2 linked regions of the Lepisosteus oculatus genome follow. The protein of the gene in region 1 interacts with the protein of each later gene in a biochemical or structural test. Links are inferred from orthologs where the notes say so. Each region holds a gene or a part of one and is shown in the gene's direction. Other genes may lie near its edges. The genes, in order: fyb1 and skap1.

Region 1 (8,022 bases):
GCGCAGGTTATTTCATCTCAACATTTCTCATGCGGATTGGCCACTGCTATCTGAATGTGAGGATCAGATAGATGTGACTGTGTTCTGACCATCTGTTTTCCAGGTCATAAGAACCAGTTTCCTGATTTCTCTGAACTAATCTGCTGATGGTAAAAGCAGAATGTCTCCTTTTCAGGACAGTTTCTCTCACACACATTGAATTCAATGATGCCGATAATACGTTTATCACTTGAACTGCTCTGTTTCTCTCTATATTTCACTGTTCTTACATTAAGTAAACTTGTCTTTGTGAAGCGTTTCTTGTACAGATTCCTTATCAGCCTTTGTTTGTGGCATTTAATTAGAATACTAAGCACTGAGCATCTGATTTCTTTTTGAAATCGCATGACTTGAGCTCAGCAGTTTCTTACTCCACAAAATGATACTAATCAAACAATCAACAAAACGTTTTGCTCACAATTTAAGATGGAAATAATGTGTGGGTACAATTGAGCTACTGATATACAAGACTGTTGTGTTCTTATCGTGCAGTAGTACACAGCTGAACCAGTAATCAGATCAATTGAGAACTGAAGATAGTGTACAGTACCAATTAAAAGACCCCTGTGGATCTCCAAAAACATACTGTAGTGATTTTTGGTTTGGTTTGTTGAAGTAAAATTCTCAATGGAAACGAACATGTCAGGAAGTTGACAAGCATTGGCAGTACTGTATGTTTGCCGTTGCTGTAACAAAAGGAGATCACTTGTGCAATAAAATAACTTCTCTTTAACAAAGTGATAATTTGCTGTTTTCCATTTAAGAACATTTGTCGAGCAATGTCAGAATAGTTTCTTGTTCTTGATGTAGGGTATTACGTTGTTTATAAGCCCAGTGTGTGTTTTATATATCTAGACACCTATGACAATAAGCAGCTGTGACATCATAACAGGTAGTTGTTCTCTTTATCTGGCTCATCTATCTGTGTTTCCTGGTCTCCAATCAGTCCCATTCAAATGAAGAATTTAAATTAATATACCGTATGTTCAAATGCTCCTTTAGAGAGGTGTATGCCCAATCTGCTTTCTTTTTCCATAGTTAAAGCACAGCGTGCAAGAAAATCCTTAAATTGAGAACACTGGCGTTCGTATTTTCCTGTGCACTAATGTATGTAACTAAGCAGCGGTCCATTGTTCACGATAAAACAAAGAGCAGGCACAGGCAGACAAACGGGTAAGTAACAGGTGGCTGTAGCGAACGAAACACAGTCCAGAATCATAGTCAGTGAAGAAGCCCAGTTCAACGCTGGAGAAACACAATGAAGGCACAAATGAACTACTGTACGCGAAAGCTGAGGTCCAATTAAGCTATTCAGGTTTGTAGCCATATGTAACAGCATTGAACATGCAATCAGTATTATTCAATTTTTCTTTAATATTAATTATCTATTTACTTCCTTCTTTTACTTTTTTGCTTTGTGGAGTAGTGTAAAGTCAGTTGTGTATCTAACACCTATTGAAAGTTCCTGACTGCAAGCTTTAAAGCAACAAAAGGTGATCACTTTGTTAGGCACTGTAGAAAATGTCTACAGACTTGTTAACAGGGGAGGGACGAGCATCTTAAGAAACGATTCCTGTAGAAAGTAGCAAATAGTGCTAAAGAAGAGAAACACCTCACAATGAGTCAATTAGATTTGATTGCAAAATGTGATGAATTAGGTTTTATCACTTGCTCGTGTCTAGTTTATCTTGAAACGTTCTACTTAGGGTTTTGAATATACTACTTGATGTGAAGTAAAAACTGGATGACGAGTTTCTTCTCACACAAAGCAAGCTGTATTAATAACAGTACAACTTGTTATAATAGTAAAGAAATTAGTGGAGGCTTTGAGTAGTTTGTGATGATGATAACATGCTCATACTGCAACCCCTGACTGTGTTTAAGATGTCTAAGGTATTTCTACAGTATATGCAGTAAATACCCTTTTTAAATTCATTGGTTTGTGACATCTATTGTACTGTCCAGGAAATTCCATCTTTAAGCAGTTCTCACAATGTCTGCATTTTCAAAGCAGCTTTCCCTTGTAAAATTTTCAAGACTTAGACAACATAGATGTAGTATTCAGTCCCTATTTATAGAGCTTATCTCATATCAGTGCATGTGTTGCATAAGACCTTTGACAAGCACATTGTCCCCTCTGATGTTAGAGAACCGAAACTTGTGTTTTATATCACTTCATGTACAGTACTAGCTTTCCAGCAGTACTTTATTTTGTTGCTCACAGTGGAGCTCACAGTGATCATGGAGCATGTTAAAAAGTTTTTTTTCTTATATGCAACTTTTGATATCCCCCCGAGGGAATCATGTGGCCTGAAGTCCTTTTATCTGTGCAAGGGCCGAGTGTGAGAGGCAGAATGATAAAATCTCACGGCACTATAAAGAAATAAACATTAATTATCATATAATACACATTCTATTATATTATTGGAGTTCACTGGAGTTAATGTTCAGCTTCTTATGGAAACACTCACATACACCATTCAGGGTATTTGATCATCTCCTTACTATCAGAGCAAAATTAAAAATGCTCTAAGCATGCCAACTGTTGTTAACTGGAAAAATCTGCAAGAATTATACACTGTACATGTATCTTAGCCTATGTATAAGTAGTATAAAAGGTATGGAGCAAAAAACCTTTGTTAAAGAATCAAAGACTGCTAATCTTTGATCAATTGAACACACCTGATATGACATGAAGCCACCAAATAAATTTATACCTGACACACTATCTCAACAGTTTGTTGACCCTGGAATCCATCTGAAATCACAATGGTTTCTCGGCTGCATAATTTACTGTTATTAATTCGTTTCCTTTGCTGCTACAACCATTTGCTGAGCAAGGGTGTGATGAAGACTCTTTCCACGATGCAAGAGCATGGCACAGGCTGCAAAGCTTGTGGAAGAAATTGTGCTACAGCAGTGGGAGCAGTAGCCTGCTGTTCAATGATATCACATGAGCTCTTTAGCATGTTCCATTATCAATAGGATTGTCATTATCAATACGCTTTTGTGGTAGTAGAAGTACCCCAGTTTAAAGAGGCAACTTGGGTGCTATTCATACACACACCATAACTACAGGACCTGTAAGATGTGATATGTCACATTGTATCACCTAGGGCGGGAGCACAGACGCAACAGTACTGCCACCACCAGTACGATGAGTGAAGCAGTGAAGTGTTTGAAAAGAAGTTCCTTTCAACTGCTCAGCATTTTTCAGCTTCTCTCTTCCTCTTTTGTTTGCTTATGTCTGTGTTTTTCTTTTCCTTTGGTCTGGGAATGAAACCCCCCCCCCAGCTGCTGAGGCCGAACTCATTGTCACCTTAGTTTCCCTTACAGGAAAATTCTTGTTGGACTCCACTTGTCTTTTAGAGAAGTGACAAACCCTGATGAGTTGAATAGCCTTTTGTAAACTTTCTCAGGTTCTCAGTGAGATACAAATGTTTTACTCTTGATGCCAATGGCACCTGAGAGCTCCCACATTCTGCCATTCAGTGAGCCAGAACTCACCTGTGTTCACTTTAGATTCCAGAAAGCCATGCACCTGAGAAACTACTGTATATCAGATATTCCAGACATCAGTTTAGATTATTTAGATTAGGTTTGACTCAATCTTTACCAATTGTCTGATCGTGTGAGCTGTAAGAGCTCTTAACACAACTAAGAAGACAAAGTATCTACCTGCTAAACCCTTTCCAATAGGGCGGTGTTATATTATATGGGTCTTTGTACAGTATATTTTATCAAAGGACAGCAGTACCACTAAATTTACACTACAACGCAAACAAGCCTACATGTTTTAATTGATCTGTTTTAGGTATAGAAATATCAATTTGTTCATAGGCTTAAAATTTCATGTAAGCATTTTTTCTGTGATGTTTATTTTTATTCTGATGTTATTTTCTGCCAGGGGAATTTGTGTCTGGTTCCTGCATGTGGTCTGAGCTTCCTTGTTTCTTTCATCACTGTGCAATTTAGATACTGTGCTACTAAGAATGTGTCGTGAAATGGCAGAAACTTCACAGAGAGTCTGGATTTCAGATCAGACTGTGACCAACTGTGCTGTGTAATTTTTTTCATGATCACCTGCGCTGCTCAACAGCTTCAGTTGTATTTATTTATTTCACGTGGGTTCTAAAAATCCCACACACATTTAGGTAGCTCACTAAAAATGATAATACAAAGTTTCTACCTGAACGATCAACATTGCAAAAAAATTAGTTATTGTCATGATACAAAGAAAACTTTCAATCACAAATCAATATGTAACTGGTCAGGCTTCAGCTCTCAGGTTAGGGCAAGTTCAGAAGCATGATATATAAAATATACAGTGAAATATAAGCCACCTTTGTGTATCCTTTCCTGAAATGCAATAACCCAATTAAGATAAAACCTGCAAAATTCTGGAAGGGAAGAGTAACTCCTGAAGTTACAACACTGTGACATTGGAGGAATTAAAACTGATGCATTGTAACAGGAGTCCTTCAGTGAGTTATGCCCCCTGTTGCAAAAGAAGTTGAAATATAGTCTGACAGAAACACAGCTGCAAAGGGAAATCTCTACGATACCTGAAAAGGTCTCAGCAGTTTTTGCACATAATCCAGCTATAGTCCAGCCATCTAATCCATTATTAATATATAACCTATTATAATATATATATATAATATAATCCAGCTATAAGATGGAATCGGAAAGGAAAAGGATACCGTGTGTCCCTGCAAGTGCTGTCTCCTTCCTCTAGGTGGCACCACAACCTTACTGTTCATAGTACAACATTTAAAAGTACAATGACTCTGAGGTCTATGATCTTTAGAAACCAGAGATAAGAGGGGTAAATAATAATTGACTGTCCTAAGCTGGGAAGTTTAAAAAGAGAAAACTAAACTTTGTGATTTTTTTGTTTAAAACATATTCTCGGGTCTACGTTCAACAGTAACATTGAGACTCTTGGAAGCACAGTTTTCTTCTGAAGTTTGTTGAGAATAAGACGTTAATGGAGCAGGTTAGTGTATCATGTTTTTGGGTTACTTTTTACTTATTGTGCTAAAGAAACACCCCTGCAAGATGGGCTTTGTAAAGACTCCAAGCTTTGTTGGTAGGGGGTAGATGTGGAGAAATCGCCAAATCATCCTCTTCCACAGTTCCAGTCGAGGCTGTGCATTTGTCACATTTTATATCTTCAGCTGGAAGCTACTTAACAAGCTGTTATTAAACAGTACATACATTGTCGGTCTTTGATCAGTTCAATTATTCAGCAAGTGGTTTCCTGATTCCATGATTTTATTATACTGTAAGCCTGATGAACCCTAATCATATGGCTTTCAATCTTCTGTTTCTTAGATTTTTGGTATTGGTTTATTATTGCCTTTTGGTCATGGTCGAAAGTCAAATTACAGATTGTGTAAAATAGACAATATCCTTACTTGAAGAGCATATCAGGCGAGTATTCTGTTGTAACTGGTACATTTTTCTGTCGTTCTAAGGCTTTCATTGAACATATCCATTCACAACTGCAATCATTCCTCATAAGGAGAAGAGTATTTTCCAGAAAGTTACCTTAATACATACATTGATAGCACCTTGTAGCCTGATCCTGTCAGATCTCGGAAACTAAGCAAGGTCCGGCCTGCACTGGGACAGAAGACACCAGGTTACTGTGATATTGGTGAACCAATAGTGGGAGCTCTTCCCTCTGCCAGATGATCAAAACTAATAACAGCAATGGCGACTAGGGATTAGTGATGTACAGTAGGAGGTGCCATCCATTTAATGAGACTTCAAATCCAGGTCTTGGCAATGTTTATGAAAACCCAGGAGTTAATCCCCTTTCCCTGGCTAAATTCCACTCTGGACTGGTACAATCTGGCCTTCTCTTAAATTTCCCCTTAGTTCAATCGGAGAAGCATTTTCTCATGTCTCTGAATGATCTGCTGTGCAGTGGGGCTGCTTCTGCAGAACAGCTGCCACATATCACCCAGGTGATATATGAACTTGAGAGCTGAACTTGATAGGGGAATGAAGAAGCTACCCTTCTGTGTGACAAGAGCATTGGCATCCTGTGGGATAAAATGACATTTGAAAGTTTATTATTAATATTACTGACAATAATAATAAGAAGAAAATAAAAATACAGTGTGTTCATAGACTCACATACACTAGTACAGCTCTCACCAATTAAACTGTCTTAGGCTAAAATGGTCCCTCGCTTTCACAAGGCAGTCTTGCCAGTCTCTGCAGTGTTCAGTGTCCAGTTTTCAGTGCCACACCAGAATAAACCTCACTGAGCATACTGCAGGTACTGTAATTGTGTCTACAATGTGACATGGCCCAGGAACTGGCAAATGAGTGAGTACTCAAAATACTTATGCCCCTTAATGTCTGCAGCACGATTCAATGGGACAAATTTGAAATCTTGCTCACTTTGTACAGACCAAAAGTAAGAAATGCCTAACTAAAACCAAGGATTTGTTGAATTCCTCTTCCTGTGCTGCTTTGTTTTTTTGTCATTTACGAGAACTATGTGAAACTGTATCCTGTGTGAAATAGTGATGTTAGCAATAGTTTCACCACTTGAGCCAACTTCCCTAAACATGAATTTGCAGGCACACGCTAATAGCAAGCAGAGGAGCTGTTTTTCCTGATCTTGTTGTCATTAGTAAGTACAAACGTTTTGCTATTTTGTAGGGATTCAGGAATTATTAACATTACCATTCCTCAAATATGTGTGCATAAGTTAATATATGAAATGTTGTTGTACCAATAGTTTTATTTTTCTGTTTTGTGCTCAATGAAAATCATTCTAATAATTATTTGGTTTTAAACAATCCAGTGTTTACCAGCTCTAGTGACATGAGACTAGTTTGGATTGATTTTTTATTGTTTTCACCAGGAGCTCTAAGTTTAACTTAAGCTTGAGAAAGTTGCGAGAACTGTATTATATGGACTTCTGTGAAAACACACTGTTTAAAAATGACAACACTGTACAATGGCTTAGTATTTCTGCCTAAAGTTTCTGTGCTGAACTGTCAATACATTTTATTTAATCCAATCAATTAATTATTTATGTCCCTCAGGAATAGAGCATCTTAACAGCTGCTTATGGGTTTTATTGCATCAAAAGCCTCACACCAGAGATCAGGTGTATAAGATATTTAAGCTTGGCAGGTAATCATATAGAGATCAGGTGTATAAGAGTGTTCAGATGGCCAGATAACCATTGAGAGATCAGGTGTATAAGAGTGTTCAACTGTCCAGTTAACCATTGAGAGATTGGGTGTATAAGAGTTGTTGGCTGGCCAGGTAACCATGAGCGATCAGGTGTATAAGAGCTGTAACACTGTCGGATCCCTGATGTGCACAGAAACAGATTAAAACAGCTGACAGAAGTAAGGAAGAGGAATAATGAAAGAATGTCATTTCTTTCAATATTGAGAAACATGTCATTTCTGTACATACTGCATCACGTATGGTGATGAAATATAATTTTTCGGTCGTTGATTGGCTGTATTTCTTCACCTTGGAGAGTGACACAGCAGAGTGTTAAACAAGTAATAATTTTGATTGCTGCCCCAACACTGTACAGTTCAGAACTTGTCAATTACATCTCTTTGCTGTCTCCATAGGGGTAATTACTTTTGCTATAAAACTGTAGTTTTTTTTATCTGATTCAGCCTGGGGGACAAACAAAAATTGGGGCCTGTCCTATTTAATGTTTGTCACACGTGACACATTTTGTTATGTCAGTTCTCATTCAGTTGCTCGCAATCTAAAAGATTCTTATTAGAAGTTGGTCTTTTTAATTTTGCAGGAGAGTCGCACATGCCCTCTCCTGTCTTGTTGGAGGTCATCTTAAAGTCTGTCCCAGCACTTACATTTCACACTGCTGTTTTATTCCATTCAGAAATAACATTCTCTTGTTTGGTTAGTCATATAGCAGAGATGCACAATACGAAATAACTACCCTTTATCAACCTTAGCAGTTTTATT
Region 2 (7,596 bases), on another chromosome or scaffold:
GACTGAAGCCCAGCCTCCCTGGCACGAGCCTCGGGACTCCTGCTCGGGCCCACTGGAGCGCGTCTGAAAGAGCGCCAGCTCTCCCATCAGCCTGGGCGGGACGTCTGCGTGTCTTGACCCTCCCCCCCAGACTGACCCATTCCTTCCTTATCGGCCCGCGTCCAGCCAGGCCCGAGGAGGCCTTATCGCCAGGCAAGAGCCTCTTCTGCCCTCTCACAGCAGAGAGACGGCATCTGGGCCACCTGGGCCTCTCCCGCCGCCTGCTCTGAGCGGCTGCGTCCGGTGTTCACCTGGGCCGCCCAGGCAGCCAATCACGGCGTCCCGCTCGGGTCACCATGGCAACAGCTTCCACCTAACCTGGGTTTCCGAGGAGAAACTTTCCGAGCTCGGCCGGCACCGAAAATAACCCACATGCTTTATTTTCAGAAGATAGGGGGTGAAATATACATATATACTCAATGTGTTTGTGCAGAGAAGGATTTTAAAGGTTTATGTGCGATGTGTCCGAGCTAAAGGAAGGGGCCCCATCACCAGACAAGCTGAGCTATTTTGAACTGTGCGTTGAGGCCTCCTGAACTGGACACGGTCACCTGCTGCGTTAGGAAACAGCAAGGATGTCGTTCTAGACTGTGACTGTGACACATTTCTGAATTATGATTAAAATGCTCACGCTGCTTTCATCTTCCTCCTGGCCTGTGTGTCTGGGTCAGGTGACAGGGTGAGGCAGAGGTGATGGCGAATGCAGAAGACCTTTCATTAACATGTATATATTCTTCACAAACTAACTGGCTTCTGTGTCTATGGAGGACCCACGACCCGGGTGACGAGTGAGCTCCTGTGCGCCGTGGCGTGGGCAGCAGCAGACCTGCTCCACCCCCCCACCCTGTGCCCGCTTTGGCGTGGAGCTTAATCCGTAACCTGTGGGGCTAAAACTTCATTAGCGCCCAGTCATCGGCGTCTCATTTAATTACCCAGCAGCTTAACGTGAGCTTAAAACAAATGATTTCATTACCTTAAAGGATGGACTCGGGCGCTGTGCAGCGCGATAGAAAATGAAGTCGCGTTAATTAAACCACCCCGTTCGTGTTTTAATCACGCGTCTTCCGGTGATTTGACAGCGATTCTGAAATTCTGGTTCGGGTAGCGGGGCCGGGCTATATCCGCGCCGAGGCGGAAAACAGTCAGCTTTTCGCACTAAAATAAACCGTGCCGCCGATTTCAGATTTATTACTGCTGCTACTGGTACTTATTACCGATAATAAAAAAAAAGCAATGTTTCAAAAAGATGCCTTTCACGTTGCCCAGCGCCTCAGACAACGTCTAAGCACATTAAATATGCATTAAAACGCTGGAAAGCACACGGTATAGGTGCATGGATGGAGAACAGATAACATATCGCCATGGGTAGTGTCACCGCCGGCTCCCCTCTCGGGCACCCGGCCCGCGGGCCTGCGGGGTATCCCGGCCTGGGGTACGCCACGGCCAGCCCCGGGGTGGGCAGAACCGAGCGAGTCGAGATGAGAGGCAACCGTTCGCTGCACCAAGGCCTCGAAAGGTTAGCTAACATTTGTTAAACACACTGTTTTATCAAAGGGCTGAGACAATAATTGAGACAGGAGCTGAAAGCGCGATAATTCTGTTGACGTAAAGATACGCCTTCAGCAGCTAATCTGTGTTTAAGTGAGCGATATCCAGAGCTGAGATATTACTCATTAGTCACTTGCGCCCATTTTACCGCGTGTGATGTGCCGCAGCATGTCTGAAGAAGGAAGGAGGTTTATACAGCTAGGATTACTTTTAATTACGGGTATTAAAATGGAAGGCAACGCCATTATAGGCTACTACCGCCATTATTGTCGTTGCCGTCGTTACCATGTGTATGACAACATCGAATTGACAAGGAAAAGCTCCCGCCTGTGACAGGACCGCACAGTTCGCCTGTAATAGATTGAGCGTTGAGTGAGGAGGAGATTAAGATTTTGCCCCAAAGCGAGCAGCACCACCTTAGATTTGTAAAGAAAAAACGTTCAAGTTAATCCGTTGTAGCTCCTATGCAAGCTGAACTGGAAAATACCTCCGTTTTTTTTTATCACAGACAATTTATGTAAAGTACTGCGATTAGAATTACCTATTAGGCTTCACTTCCACTGATGTACAGGCATTTTTAGTATTTAGTATTTAGAGTATTGTAAAACCAAAAGTAGTTTTCTGTGCAGAAAACCGCCTTGCAAGCAAGCAAGGGGGTCTCTCCCCCTTCACAGTTTGGGGAAACGGTGTGCAGGGCTCATTGGGGTTCCCAAAATGCTCAAGGACTGGTAACCCTGAGGAACTCCTGTCTAGTTAGGGAGCAGATTAATCATTCATAAAGAGGACCTTTAAGACAATGAATCCTAAAATACAATGTCTTGGATGGTGCTGGCTCAGGCCCTCCTGTGTCTATAACTTTTCCAGACCTGGATGTCTCTCCGCCTCAGGTGCTTAAGGAATTGAATTACACACTCCCTACAACGCCTGGGCCTGCTGCTCGTGGTCTTGATGGGTCACAGACAGGTGAGGAGCCCCGCAGGACTGGAACTGTGGGACCACAGCTGGGATTCACTGGGCACACATGCCAGGACCTTGTCCCTTGGGTGACACTGAGCCCATCCCATCAATCCCACTGATCCCACTGCTGATTCCCATCTGGGGGCCGGAAAAGGCTCGATTCCCCCCCCATTTCAGGTTACAGAAACACCAGTAGCTGCAACACCGCATCGTGTCTCTGGCCATTCAGGAGAGAAAAAATCCACATCACTTTAAGACTAGCAATCTACAGCACATGTTCTCAAACCCCTTATACAATCAGATCAAAATATATGGTGTATATATTCAAGATTGCCAGAAGTCTTTTGATGCAGTTATTCAGAAAAATATAAGGTGGTAAGCCTTCAAGATTATGTATTGGGATAGAGAACTGGTTAATATGCAGAGTACAAAAGGGTACATGCTCAAACAGGGGTGATATGATTAGCAGAGCAGCGCAGGGGTCTGTATTTGGACCACTGAGGTTTCTAATTTCTGTCACTGACCTGGACTCTGGTGTGAATAACAAATTGGTCAAGTTCGCAGATGATGTCAAAAAAGGATTAACAAGCACTGTAGGAGTTGCAAAGGGCATCTACAAAAAGACTGTTACAAAATCCCAAACTAATAACTTTAATGGCCATAGTTGCAGGTAAAAACATACATATTTCATGGAAAACACTTCGTAGGAAGCAGCTTGTGAAAAAAAGATGACATGTTCATGTTAACACATCATTTTCGTCTTCATCTTCACCTTTCGGCAGGGTCTGTATTCACCCCTCAAGTTCTGACGATTCGAACCCCCCTCTCTGAACGGGCTTCATCCCTCTGCTCTCCTCCCCACTGAGAGCGGGTGTGTGGGGGAGCGGACTGGCGCATCACCCAGGTGGGGGCCGCACGTTCAAGGATTCAAACTCGGGCGCGCCCGGGAATTAATTCGGAGGCGCGGATGAAGCCAGGAGTCTGTCAGCGCGCCGCGACAGGCCCCCCGGACTTCGCGCTCAGCTGGGGAAAGAAAAGATTGTTTTGTTTTGTTTTTTTTCCAAATCTGGAAATCACGTCTCTAAGTCTCTCATCAGGAAGCACTCGAGCGTTAACAGTTGTCTCTCAAACGGCAACTCCGACCCTTTCAGAGAATAAATATATAAAAGAGTGACGCAACGCCCCCCCCTCCCCCCGTCATCCTCCCCCAGAATCAAAACCTATGATTTAATGTCTGCTAGGAGGAGGTGTAGCAGCTGAATCTCTGGGAGGCTTATGTAACTGTGTTTATGAATTAATCGGCGCGCAAAGCAGTAAAGTAAAATGCACGCTTTTCAAGTTCACATTTTAACATCTCAACAGCTGTATCTTAAAGTGCTCGTTTTTACGATTCATAGCATCTGTACGAAGCAACAACACGAGAAGTACGCTTGCTACTTTTTCTGCAGCTGGGGGGGGGGTGAACCCGAGACACCCTGTGCACGGAGCTGAAGCGCGAGGGAGTTTTTTTTTTCTGACTAAACCCGACCCACGCGCGCCCGCTTTCAATTTCAGTTCTGCGGGGCTGGCAGGTGCCTGCGCGTGTGCGCGCCCGCGCCCCCGCCCCGGGCGCGCTCACCGGCGGAGGTGGAGAGGTGGAGGTCAGGCTCGTTCTCCCCCGTCGCCGAGTGCGAGCGCTCGCCTGCCCTGCTCGACCTGGACCGCAACACCTCTCCGCATCAGGTGGAGCAAGGACGCGCAAGCATGGACGTCGTCCCCGCAGACATTAAAAGACTTCTCGAAGGTAACTTTCAGCTTTCGTTCACTGACCTTTTTTTTTTTTTAAAGTTTAAATGTAACCTGTAGATATCCCTGAGAATTTCACATGAGCGGCTTGGGAAACACTGGAGGATTCAGCTCTGTCCCGCTGGACTCGTCGTTAAATTAAAAAACCCAGCAGCAACAGAGAATGACTAAGGACTGCTCATTTGATCTGCTATCTGCTGGCGGTGCCAGTCTAGGCTCCCTCTTTGAAAGAAATGCGTTGTGGCGACGCTGGGTTGATCGTACTGGCGACGCTGGTGGCGTGGTAGCCTGGACGCGCCGAATTAGGCCAGGAAAGCGTCGTTAGCACCGGGATGAGAACCCATTCACTGTCACGGGTGCACCCCTACAAAGCTGTAGGATTCCCATTTTGTGGCCACCCGCTCCTGACGCTTTTGGGAAATCATTTTTTTTTAAAGTATAACGTTTTCTACTAGGGAGGATAGCGGCCCCAGCCGCAGGACACCGGTCAAAAGCGGCCTAGGACAGACGAAAGGCGCTCCCTCGAGTCGTGAATCTGTAGTTTTACAGACCCCTGAAGTTTGTTCTTTCAGAGTCTGAAGGCTGGTGCCTCTTCATGGGGAAAGTAGCTGAATTTGGGCTGCTTGGGAGTTTTCAAGGGCGTCACAAGGAGTCCGATGGCGGCTGATGTAGTCGGGGCGCGGCTCGGGTACCATTTAACCCATCTGCTTGAGTTGGTGCTTGTATGGGCTGTGCTTGTGAATTTCTCTCCGAATCGTGTTTTTGTTTCCCCCTTTGTATTTCAAAAGCACGCTTAAATACTGTTACAGCATAAGAATGAGAGAGAGAGGGGACCTCGAACACCTGGGTACTCGTGTGTATGTACTGGAATTTATCCAAATTGGCATGTGCAAAAATGGCTTTAAATGGGTGAGGACTGAAACTGGCCTGGAATTAAAAGGCGCAAATGTGAGTTTTGGATTGCAGGCGATGATTTGCATTTCCGGAACAATGTGTATCAGTCCTTTGACAAGTATTTGCATAGGTCAACGGGCATGGATAACACCCTGTCAGATACGTACTGTAACAAAACAAAACAAACCCTGACGTTTGCATGTGTACATTCGGTGTAATTTTGTAATGTTTTTTAATTGGCTTTCAAGGTTTTGTCTACTGTAAAAGGCCTCGTTCCACTAGATATCATTTGGATGAGAGTTTTGAATCCAGGCCTAACTACTTAGTGTTGCAACCTCATGCCAGAATATGGGGGTGTTAATGTAGTCCTGGCCGATTTCCACTGCTGTACAATCTGACCTCCTTAGAGTTCCGTCTTAATGCAACTGGTGCAGCAGTTTTGCACTCCTCCCCTTGCTCTAGTGTGCTGTGGGGGCTGCTTGCGGCACCCAGGTGGGGCTGCAATGTGGTGGCAGACAAACTGGGTCCCCCTCCTGCATGAGAGTTGCTTAGCGATCTTTCAAGATGCTACAATCCCGCGAATGCAATAAAGCAGTGTTTGATTACCCAGTGGTGGGCATGAAGATGTGGCCAGCTTGGGCAAGAACAAGGAGATGGGGAGGAAAGTCTTTTTTTTTTGTCAAAGGATACAAAGTAGGTGGTCTACAGAGTGAGAGGGGATTTGAATGGTGAGCATCAGCTGTATGTGTAAAAGATCACACCGAGGTTGTAAGGTTTACACAGCTTTTTCTGATGGGCAGGGCTGTAGAGACATGAATGTAAATGTAAACTGACCGTCTTTGGATTTGACTTGGTGCTTCCTAGCAAAATTATTTTTGTAAATTTGTCGTGCAGGAAGAACGTGGTTCGCTCCTCACTTACTTTGGAAAGCCCCAGCACAGAGGATGCACCTGAGAAATTCTTCTCTGTTGTCGAATATGTGCTGCTTGCTGGGTAGGAGAGATGCGTGTGAAGACTCACTGAGTTGTTCAGTTTGAGACCATAAATTCTGCATTGGTGAGGGGGAGGGGAGTTGAAACATGCAGCACATCGAAAAAGCTTGGGATCCCAGCTGATTTGTTAAAAACCTGCTTTATAAGTTTACGAATCTGCGCTTTTAACTTTAAAACTTTAAAATTAAAATTGTTGAAGCGCTAATTGTTTGGGAGTGAACATACATTTCTGCTGCACTGAAGCTCTTTACTTAGAGCAGGGCACTCAGCTTTTCTTTCTGTCTCTGATCGTAAATGAACACATTATGAGTATAAGTCACAAACCCTGATTGTTTTACATTTTGATAAGTTGCTGATTGGGATGTACCAGTAAATCCCGAAGACCCCTGGCCCTTGAAGACCGAAGTTGTCCATTCTTATCTTAAAGCACTGGTTTCTAAAGGCTGCAGCAGGAAGGTCATTTGCTTAATGAAGTAATTCAGAGACGCGGGGCAGCGAAACTGACTGTACTGCCTTCCAGAACCTGAGGGGTTCAACACCTGAGCTAAGTGGACAAATTGATCGCTGATTTGAGCAACGTGGGCTTACCCACCTCCTTGGAGTGCTAGTAATAATAATAATAATAATAATAATAATAATAATTATAATAAACTTATTTTATATAGCGCCTTTAAAGGTGGCATTTCAAAGCGCTTTACAGAATGATAACAACAATAAATAAGAAGAATACACAAGATAAAACACAATGACAATACACAGAGGAGACCGTGGATGGTGGTACTAAGAAAAGCAGAGGGGTGAAGAATGGAACCAGTTAAGTAAAGGCTTTTCTGAAGAAGAGGGTTTTGAGTCTGGATTTGAAGGAGTTTAGAGAAGGTGACTCTGATATCCTTGGGGAGAGAGTTCCAGAGCTTGGGGGCATAACAGGAGCAGGCCCTGTCGCCCATACAATGTAGACGGGCTTGGGGGACAGTAAGGAGACCAGAGTCAGAAGAGCGGAGGTTGTGAGGTGGGGAGTAGGGCGATAATAGTTCAGACAGGTGCTGAGGTGCCAAGCCATGCAGAGCCTTATAGGTGAGCATGAGGATTTTAAAGTCTACACGGTGCCCCCTGTCCTGCAGTGTGGCAAGAGCAGTGTAGGTTGGAGCTGTCAGGGGCCTGTCACTTCATTAGGTCCGTCTAATGTGAGTGAGAATGCCACCTACACCTCCGTTTCTCTTTCTCTGTGTTGACGAGGGAGCTCTGCGCCGTTTTATCGCGCCCGCGAGGCTGACACTCCTGTAAACAACTCATTTCCCTGCCTGCCAGCCCCCTTTTTAACGCGCATGATTCCCGCTTATCCGACTGTCGGGGAATTAAAGCCGCTGAACTCCTCAGATCT

Evidence for each region.
Region 2: the proteins of fyb1 (region 1) and skap1 form a complex in vitro, tested with the Homo sapiens proteins (2 studies listed by BioGRID and IntAct, with this or other methods). The link is inferred for Lepisosteus oculatus from reciprocal best matches to the Homo sapiens genes FYB1 and SKAP1.

The regions. Positions count from the first base shown.
Region 1 is NC_090698.1:16,136,176-16,144,197, reverse strand, and holds the start of fyb1 (FYN-binding protein 1), read left to right. Parts: upstream 1-4,930; 5' UTR 4,931-5,029; coding exon 5,030-5,038; intron 5,039-6,612; exon of another isoform or gene 6,613-6,691; intron 6,692-8,022. UniProt on the Homo sapiens protein: Acts as an adapter protein of the FYN and LCP2 signaling cascades in T-cells. May play a role in linking T-cell signaling to remodeling of the actin cytoskeleton. Modulates the expression of IL2. Involved in platelet activation.
Region 2 is NC_090723.1:9,184,895-9,192,490, reverse strand, and holds the start of skap1 (src kinase-associated phosphoprotein 1), read left to right. Parts: upstream 1-4,043; 5' UTR 4,044-4,287; coding exon 4,288-4,327; intron 4,328-7,596. UniProt on the Homo sapiens protein: Positively regulates T-cell receptor signaling by enhancing the MAP kinase pathway. Required for optimal conjugation between T-cells and antigen-presenting cells by promoting the clustering of integrin ITGAL on the surface of T-cells.